Linked DNA regions of Caenorhabditis elegans. The protein of the gene in region 2 purifies or fractionates together with the protein of the main gene of each other region. This does not show direct contact. Each region holds a gene or a part of one and is shown on either strand. Other genes may lie near its edges.

What was found. The genes of interacting proteins can lie anywhere in the genome.
Region 1: the proteins of T09A5.14 (region 2) and puf-3 fractionate together in Caenorhabditis elegans (co-fractionation; one large-scale study listed by BioGRID). This does not show direct contact.

Annotation. Positions count from the first base shown.
Region 1 is NC_003282.8:13,509,807-13,514,133, forward strand, and holds puf-3 (PUM-HD domain-containing protein), read right to left. Parts: upstream 2,357-4,327; 5' UTR 2,340-2,356; coding exon 2,011-2,339; intron 1,939-2,010; coding exon 1,129-1,938; intron 1,082-1,128; coding exon 712-1,081; 3' UTR 501-711; downstream 1-500. Other genes in the region: afmd-2 (Alpha/beta hydrolase fold-3 domain-containing protein), read left to right, coding at 196-336, 389-467, 2,735-2,994, 3,491-3,589; m7GpppN-mRNA hydrolase dcap-2, read right to left, coding at 3,813-3,908.
Region 2 is NC_003280.10:7,830,399-7,833,690, reverse strand, and holds T09A5.14 (Neuropeptide-Like Protein), read right to left. Parts: upstream 1,338-3,292; 5' UTR 1,301-1,337; coding exon 1,130-1,300; intron 1,075-1,129; coding exon 1,039-1,074; 3' UTR 788-1,038; downstream 1-787. Other genes in the region: cex-2 (Calexcitin-2), read left to right, coding at 505-624.

The sequences.
Region 1 (4,327 bases), on a different chromosome or scaffold from region 2:
AAAAAATGGAGAAAATAAATTCATTTAGAAAATCGAGCCCGTAAATCGACACAACCTCTACAGTAGCCATGTAAAGAATTACTGTAGTTTTCGATACGAGATATTTTGCGCGTCAAATATGTTACATAATACGCATTCTCCGAATTTTGTGTTCTCGTAACATGTGGAGAGCACACAAAAACAGAAAATCTCCAGATTGGAAACCGAAAGAAATGTTTGGCTGTCGTCCACGTGGCACAAAAGCTTGGCTACACTGTAGTCAGCGTGGGATACGACTATGCCAACAAGGATCATGTATTGAGCAAGACGATCGTTGAAGCTTTGGAAGGAGTTCAGGTTGGCGGGAAATTTAAATATTTCAGAAAATGTTCTAAAATATAAATTCCAGTTTGCTCTGAAAAAGTTCAAGAATGCGAAGAAAATTGTGATTGGAGGACACTCAGTCGGAGCACACCTCGCATTTCAAGGTAATAATTAAACAAAATATTGCAATTAAATCTGGAAGTTTGTAAATTCTTTATTCACAGAATTTATATCAATTATTGTGCAAAACGGGGGCCGGGGTCTTCATATAATATAGAAGAGGTTGCAATACTCTTTCTACAATTTTCTAGCAATATAATAATAAAAATAATAATAGTATACACGTGAGTTGGGTGATGGTGGGGGTTAGGATTCAAATGGAAATGAATAAAAATTGCCTATGTGTATCTAGTACAAGGACATTGATTGGAGCGCTTCGATAATCTTCTTGCCCGACGAAAATCTTTCGAGGCGGTGGGCGTTTCGCATCACTCGTCCGTGAATCTTCTCGAGCCACATGCCGTACATCTCCGATTGCTTTTGATCTCGAGCATTCTGACCGAGAACACAAGTCTGGATCATCTGCTGAACAACGTAGTTTCCATATTGATGGAAGAGCAGAATGTCGAGAGCATCACGATTTGTATCCGGATGTGGAATATATCCTTCGAAGATCTCGTTCATCATCTCGGCAACGAGGCGATATGGAGCACATTCAAACGCCACTTCGACCACGTGGCTAGCGTACTTCTCCTGTGACATTGAGAGCAAATTTTGCCTGGAAATGGAAAAATACATTTGAAAATTTGACTATATAAAACATACAGAAGGCACTGCTCAATGATGATATCTCTGTAGACAGCCAACGCATCTCCACACTTGATAACGTGTTGTACCACGTAGTTCGCAAACTCGTTGGAAGCCAGCTGGGTGCAGTTACGAGTGACTCCAGCCATCAAACTGCGAAGAAGAATGACACGATGCTGGTAGCACTGAGCATATTGATCAGTCGACAAAGTTTCGACGGTCGATTGAATGACACGGCACCCATATTTGTCCTGGCAAACGTGGATGAGATTGTCGTCGTCGGCGAAGAAATCCACGAGGAAAGTCCACGAAGAGACTGGAAGCGTCTTGACAATCTTCTGAATCACGTGGTTTCCGTTTTGATCGATGCTGAGACGGACGAGGTGCGTGTCACGGAGCTCCAACGACAAACGAGTCGCAAGATGAACATCAAGCTTCTGAATAGCCAGTTGAATGACGCGGCACGCACTCTTGTCAAGGCAGAGATTGTACAAATCAGTAGCCAAGTGCTCCGTAAGAATCTCCTGCTCCTCAGTGTTCGAGCACTCCAAGACACGTTGCACAAAGAAGTTGCCAAACATGTTAGAGCAGAGCGACAAGAAGATGGCACGATCCTCGACCAGTTTACGGAAGAGTTTTTGGTGGACGTCGTTGTCGTTCTCCGTTGGATAATGCTCCTGAAGGAATCGGCATCCATTCTTATCGGTGGCAAATTCCACGAGAGCATCGTTGGCGAGCACATCCTGAAGAGTGACCGAGTCCGAGACATTTCCCTCGCCGTCGCCAGCCCAGATTGGAAGTGTGCATTTGTGGCTGCGGGTGGTCGAGCTGAAAATTTGATTATTTTTTTGAAAGTTTTAAAAATTGAGGCTCCAAGTCACTGGAAAACTCTAAACTCACTTCAAAGACTTCGAGAACGAGGCGTTGTTCTCCAAATCGATAAGTCTAACGGCCTGTTGAGGATAACGAGCCGGAGTCGTCATCGGTGTAGAAGTGCGCCATTTGGAGAATTGTCCTCCAAATCCTTGACGATTCGGAGCCCAAGCGCTCTGTGGTGTCGGTGAGGAGCTCCGAAATCCCATCGAAGAGTCCACTTTCCGATTCGGCGTCCAAATGTTGGTGGAGCTGTTGGCGTTGAAGCAACCACCGAATGTGCCACGAGCCTCCGTCGCCGTTGGCGGGCTCTCGTAGTAGCGACCGAGGTTAGAGGAACCGGTGTTTTGACTCATATTGGTACGGAGACTACCTGAAAATTTATTTTTTTGGAAGACATCGACGTTTGAATGGACGGAATAAGTGGAAAATACGATAGAATTAATGAAAATAAGAGAGCAAAATTTTGGGACGCGTCCTCGAAGACAAAAAATGAACAAAAATGAAGAAATCAGGAACCAAAATGCAAAAAATCCCGCGTTAAAATAAAAAATCCAAAATTTCCCGCGCAAAAACGAAATAAAGTACTGTAGAATTTAAAGGCGCATGTCGACGCTGCGCCGATGGGTCTCGCCACGATTGATAAATTTTGCATACCAGGAATAAAATTTATGAAAAGTTCTTGTATTCTCACTCTGTGCAAAAAAATAGCGCTTTTTTTTTGTTAAATCAAAGAAAAAAATATTTCCAGCTGTAACACGGATCCATGACCCCCGAATCAGTGGTGCCTACCTCAGCGCGGGCATCTACAAAATTCAAGAACTGACTTCCACGACTTATGGTCACGATCTTGGGTTGACTTCAGAAGAAGCAGAAACTTGTAGTTGTGATTATGAGCTTATGAAGCATGTCCGGTTCCCGGTGTTAATCGCATGTTGCAGACGGGAATCCCCAAAGTTGTACCAACAAAATCAGGATTTTTCTAGTCAAGTTGCAAATGCTCAGTACAAGGTTTGAGCTATTTTGGACCGAAAAAAAAACCCCGTTTTAGGGTCTTGGCACGATTTTTAAAATATTTTTTTAACGAGTTTCACGCCAAAACCACGTTACCTGGTCTCGACACGATAGATTTTTGCTAAATGAGAACAGATATATGCGCCTTTAAAGATTACTGTAGATTTAAAAATATATTTATTTTATTTGGAAAACTCATATATTACGATAAAAACACATTCTTAAGAAAATAGATTATTTAAAATTCCGCAAAAACCAAATTTCAAAAGTACAGTACTCTTTAAAGGCGCACACCTTTTCATATTCGTCGTGTCGAGACCATGTATGGTATTTTTGACGCAAACCCCATAAAATCTCACGTCTGGATGATAAAACACGAGGAAACAACAAAAATCTATGAAATTTCGAGAAAATTACAGTAGTCTTTTTTTAAAGGCGCACGTATTTTCGCAATCAGCAAAAATTTGTCGCGTCGAGACCATTTTTGTTTCAGGAATACGAAAATGAAGATCATTTCACAATCCTGACAGAGCTCACAAAAGAGGAGAGCATCGTGTACGCCGACTTCTTCAACTTTCTTTATTCAATTTAATTGTACATTTTTTTTTCCAAAAAATAAAAATCAGATTTCTTGTTGGGTGTGGGAAACCTACAAATCTACATGAAAACCTTAAAATATAGCAAATTGTTTAACAAGGTTTCATGACTAAAATGAAGTAAATAGATAGGAAACATGTGGGTTTAGGAGCAAAAAAAAAAAGATACAGACAAGAGTGAATATATATTGAAATTACAAGTATTTTATTATATTTTATTTATGGTAATTGTGGTCCAGTGCCAGAAACGGGAGATTTTGTAGAGAATTGTTGCATCCAAAATGACAATGGTCCAACCACATAATCAATGTCAAGCTGGAATTTTTTTAGTTGTAAAATCTATAATATTTTTGTAAAAAAAAGTACTGTCTAATTTAAAAAAAAAACGAGCGTCGTTTTGCAAACCCGCGGCGCGCTTTTTCAAATAATTTTACAATTTTTTGGCGAAATTCTTGATTTTTGATTATTTTTCGAATTTTTTTTTGTGATTAGCATTTGAAATCGTCAATATAAACCTATTTTAAAAATAATTTTTTTTTATTTGTGGCTCATTTATTTTCCCTACATTTTTCAAGAAAATAACTTTGTTTTTAGCGAATTTCGTGATTTTCTTTGAATTTTTCTGTAAAAAGTAATTTGAAACAATTTTCCAAATTACAAATAAAATTTTGTACATTTTTTTTTGAAAACTGATTTAAAACAATTTTAACACAAAAAATGAAAAGAAAACGACA
Region 2 (3,292 bases):
AAAAGTAATATTTGTGAACGTTTTCTTATGTTGGAATTACACATGAATAATGCAATTTTTATAGTTTAGATACAATTTTACCTTTTCCGTTTAGTCTGGTGGTATTCACAGACAAATAACATTAAATTCAATATTCAAATCAAAAAATACGATTCAATTGTGAAATACAAACATTTTATTGAAATCATTTAATGAAAGTGGGTGGGTAGACCAAGAAGGATCATATTTAGCAATAATTTCACAGTGAGTAATTGATTTAAATGGGGAAAAACTCATATTGGCTCTTTGCTCTATCGAACTCCGAATTTCTTCATGGCTACTGTACCTAAAGAACTGTAGCATCTCAATTAAACTCGTTTTCGATGTGCTTTCCTCCCTGATATTATCTATTGCCCAGACTAATGATTTCATAAATTATTTGGGTGCCATATGAAATTTTAAAAGTTAAAACTTGAAAATAATTCAGTTCAAAAAGTTTCCAAACCTTAATAACTTAAATTTCAGAATCATCAAGGTCAACTTATCAATAGTATTGATAAAAAGAAATTCCATGTTCTTTGGAAACAATTCTTCCATTCAGAAGATCCATCTAGCCCTGGAAATTGGCTCTTAGGAAAAGTTTAATTGAAATAAATACCTATAATGTATTATTCTTGACTAATTTCGTACCGGTGTGTTTTTTATTTGAAATCTTTATAGTTTCATTCGATTTCTCCTTTCCCCTTTCTCCAAATTCTTTCCCCAATCCCCGCAACATACATTTAAATCACTTATACTTCCATATGCAATGAGCTTTTAAACGATTTATTGTCGTTATTCTTTCAATAAATAAAACTAATCGAAACTTAACTAAGTTTACAGAAAAAAAAATCAAAAAATCAAAAAAAAATACACAGTGGTCTGTTTATACTACAATATAGTAGAAATGGAACCCGATGAGAAGGGGAAGTCGTTGTGAGACCCGTTTAGACTGTAACAGGAAAATGATGAAATGATGTGAAGAAGTGCAACAATTAAAGTAGATCAAATATGGTGATTCTAACCCATTACAATGTTTCCACCAATTCGTCGACTCTGAAAGTATGAGAAAGTAAGAACATGTTTCAGATAATTAATAAAATAAACAAACCTTTGGACTTTTATGATGTCTGTGAGAAGGAAGTCTTTGTTCAAGAATATTCTCTAGACTTGCAATATTTCGAACAGCGTTCTGTCGGATTACTTCAAAATCTCGAATATCATAAGCCATTAGAGTGCAGATTGCATTGCAAAGAACAAGAAAATAGATGAAAATCCGCATTATAGAAGAAAGCAAAGGGTGTATGAAACTGAGTTGGTGTCACCCACAGAGCAAGTCCTTTATATGTCGCATGTGCCAGATTAAAGCAGACGACGACTTGCTCCGCCCATTTCAGTACTTTCTTCTCGAGCTCCGCCTATTTGGGGGGAGGAGGATTTTGCTGGAAATCGGATGAATGATAGTAGGGTGGTAATCGGATAATGCAAATAAAAAACATTTTAGCAGACATGTTCAAATGATGACAGAGAGACATAAGCGGATTTTAATATGACAGATGCTTTTGACATATATCATGAATAATCGAAACAATGTTCAACGCAGTTTCTTTGCGTGGGAATGAGAGGTTCAAAAGATATTATGATATCATCTAGGAACTTGATGGTCCGAAAAGATAATTTTATTAAATTAAGAACGGCAAAACTTTTGATTTTTTTTTCAATTTTTAGAGCTTTTGGATAATTTTTCAATTTACTCCAATATGAAAATTGCAAGATCCATCAGCTGCTAGCACCCACTTCGGAACGTCTTTAATTGGTTTACCAGTCTGTGGAGTTTACGCTGATTCTTCCAGGTGAAATTAAAACAGGGAGACAATTAAAAATTTAAATTGTTTGTCATAAGCTGGACTTTTAGAACGTTTTTTCACAATGATTACATAAACAATCGTTCTCTTTAATTTTTAGGCTCTTCGTGAAATGCCAATTTATCTCAAAAATCGTTTTTATTCCCTTAGAAAATATTTATTTGATTTGAAAAAACATTTTCATTTCCTAGTAGACACATCTATTTCCATCTTTACTCGTAATCTTTCGCCTTTTTCGCAAAATTCAAGACAAACACGGAAATCAGATTTCCTGTGGTTCACAGTTCTTGGAATTTGTTTAAAAGATGTTTAACTGTTTTTTCACGATGAATTTTTGAAGATTTCACATAATTTGATACGGTACTTTTAAATTGGATTGCTTGTCGAGGCATCATCGCACTCATCAAATCTAGTTGTGGGTGTTTGAAGTTTTTAATAAGCAACTAGTATAGTGGGATCTTCAAGGATTTAATAAAGAATCTCAAAGCCAGTTTGTCCGAGAATTTCAAATCAAACACCAATCCGTATCCAGTTTTGACCGATAAAGTACTTAATTTATTGCAGATTTTCTCGTTCACATACCTCACTTCAAAATGGTAAACAAGATATTGATAGGGTGTGAATTTTTAAATAAATTCTTCTTGGATTTGTATTATTATTCTCCTTATCAGAGAAAATATATGAAGGATGAGTTAAATTGGTTGCATGATTTCTAAAGACTACTGATTGTGGGAGAGTCGTCTTTTTGTTGATAAATATATATATAATTTTTGAATAGCACAAAAAACTTTATGTCTTATGGAAAGCTTTTCCTTTTAGTCATTCTAGCACAATGGAGTCTTAAAAAATGATCTAACTGCTTTATTTGGTAGAGATTATATTCATTTCTACAATAATCTTTTTTAAAAAAATTATATAGTTAGGGGGAAAATTATTTTCAGACAGAATAGGTTTTTTTAAAGTTTGTTTCAATCAAATACAAATACAAATACAAAATAAAAATTAAGTGAAATGAAATATGTTTACTAAAAATACACAGAAGAGAACTTTGAACTAGAACAATTGATCTCGGACATTTTTCAAACCATTTTTTTTCCTTGAAAAAATCGGAGCCGCTTTGATCACGTTGGGTGAGACAAATTCAGTTTTTTCTCGAAAAGTTAAAATATCCAAAAGGCTTACTGAATGTTTGCATAAAATACCCTTATAATTTTGATTTTTTTTTTAAATAGCAGCCAGACATAAGATAGCTACAAAGTTTCTGTTATGAAAAGTTGAAAATATGATGTACTTTTATGCATATATGATTTTCAGTGCTCAAAGGAGCAATAACCGAAAACTCATTCTCATCTTGTTTTCATTTTTTGATGTCCTTGTTTTTCTCGGATTCTCATGTTTCAAAAACCATC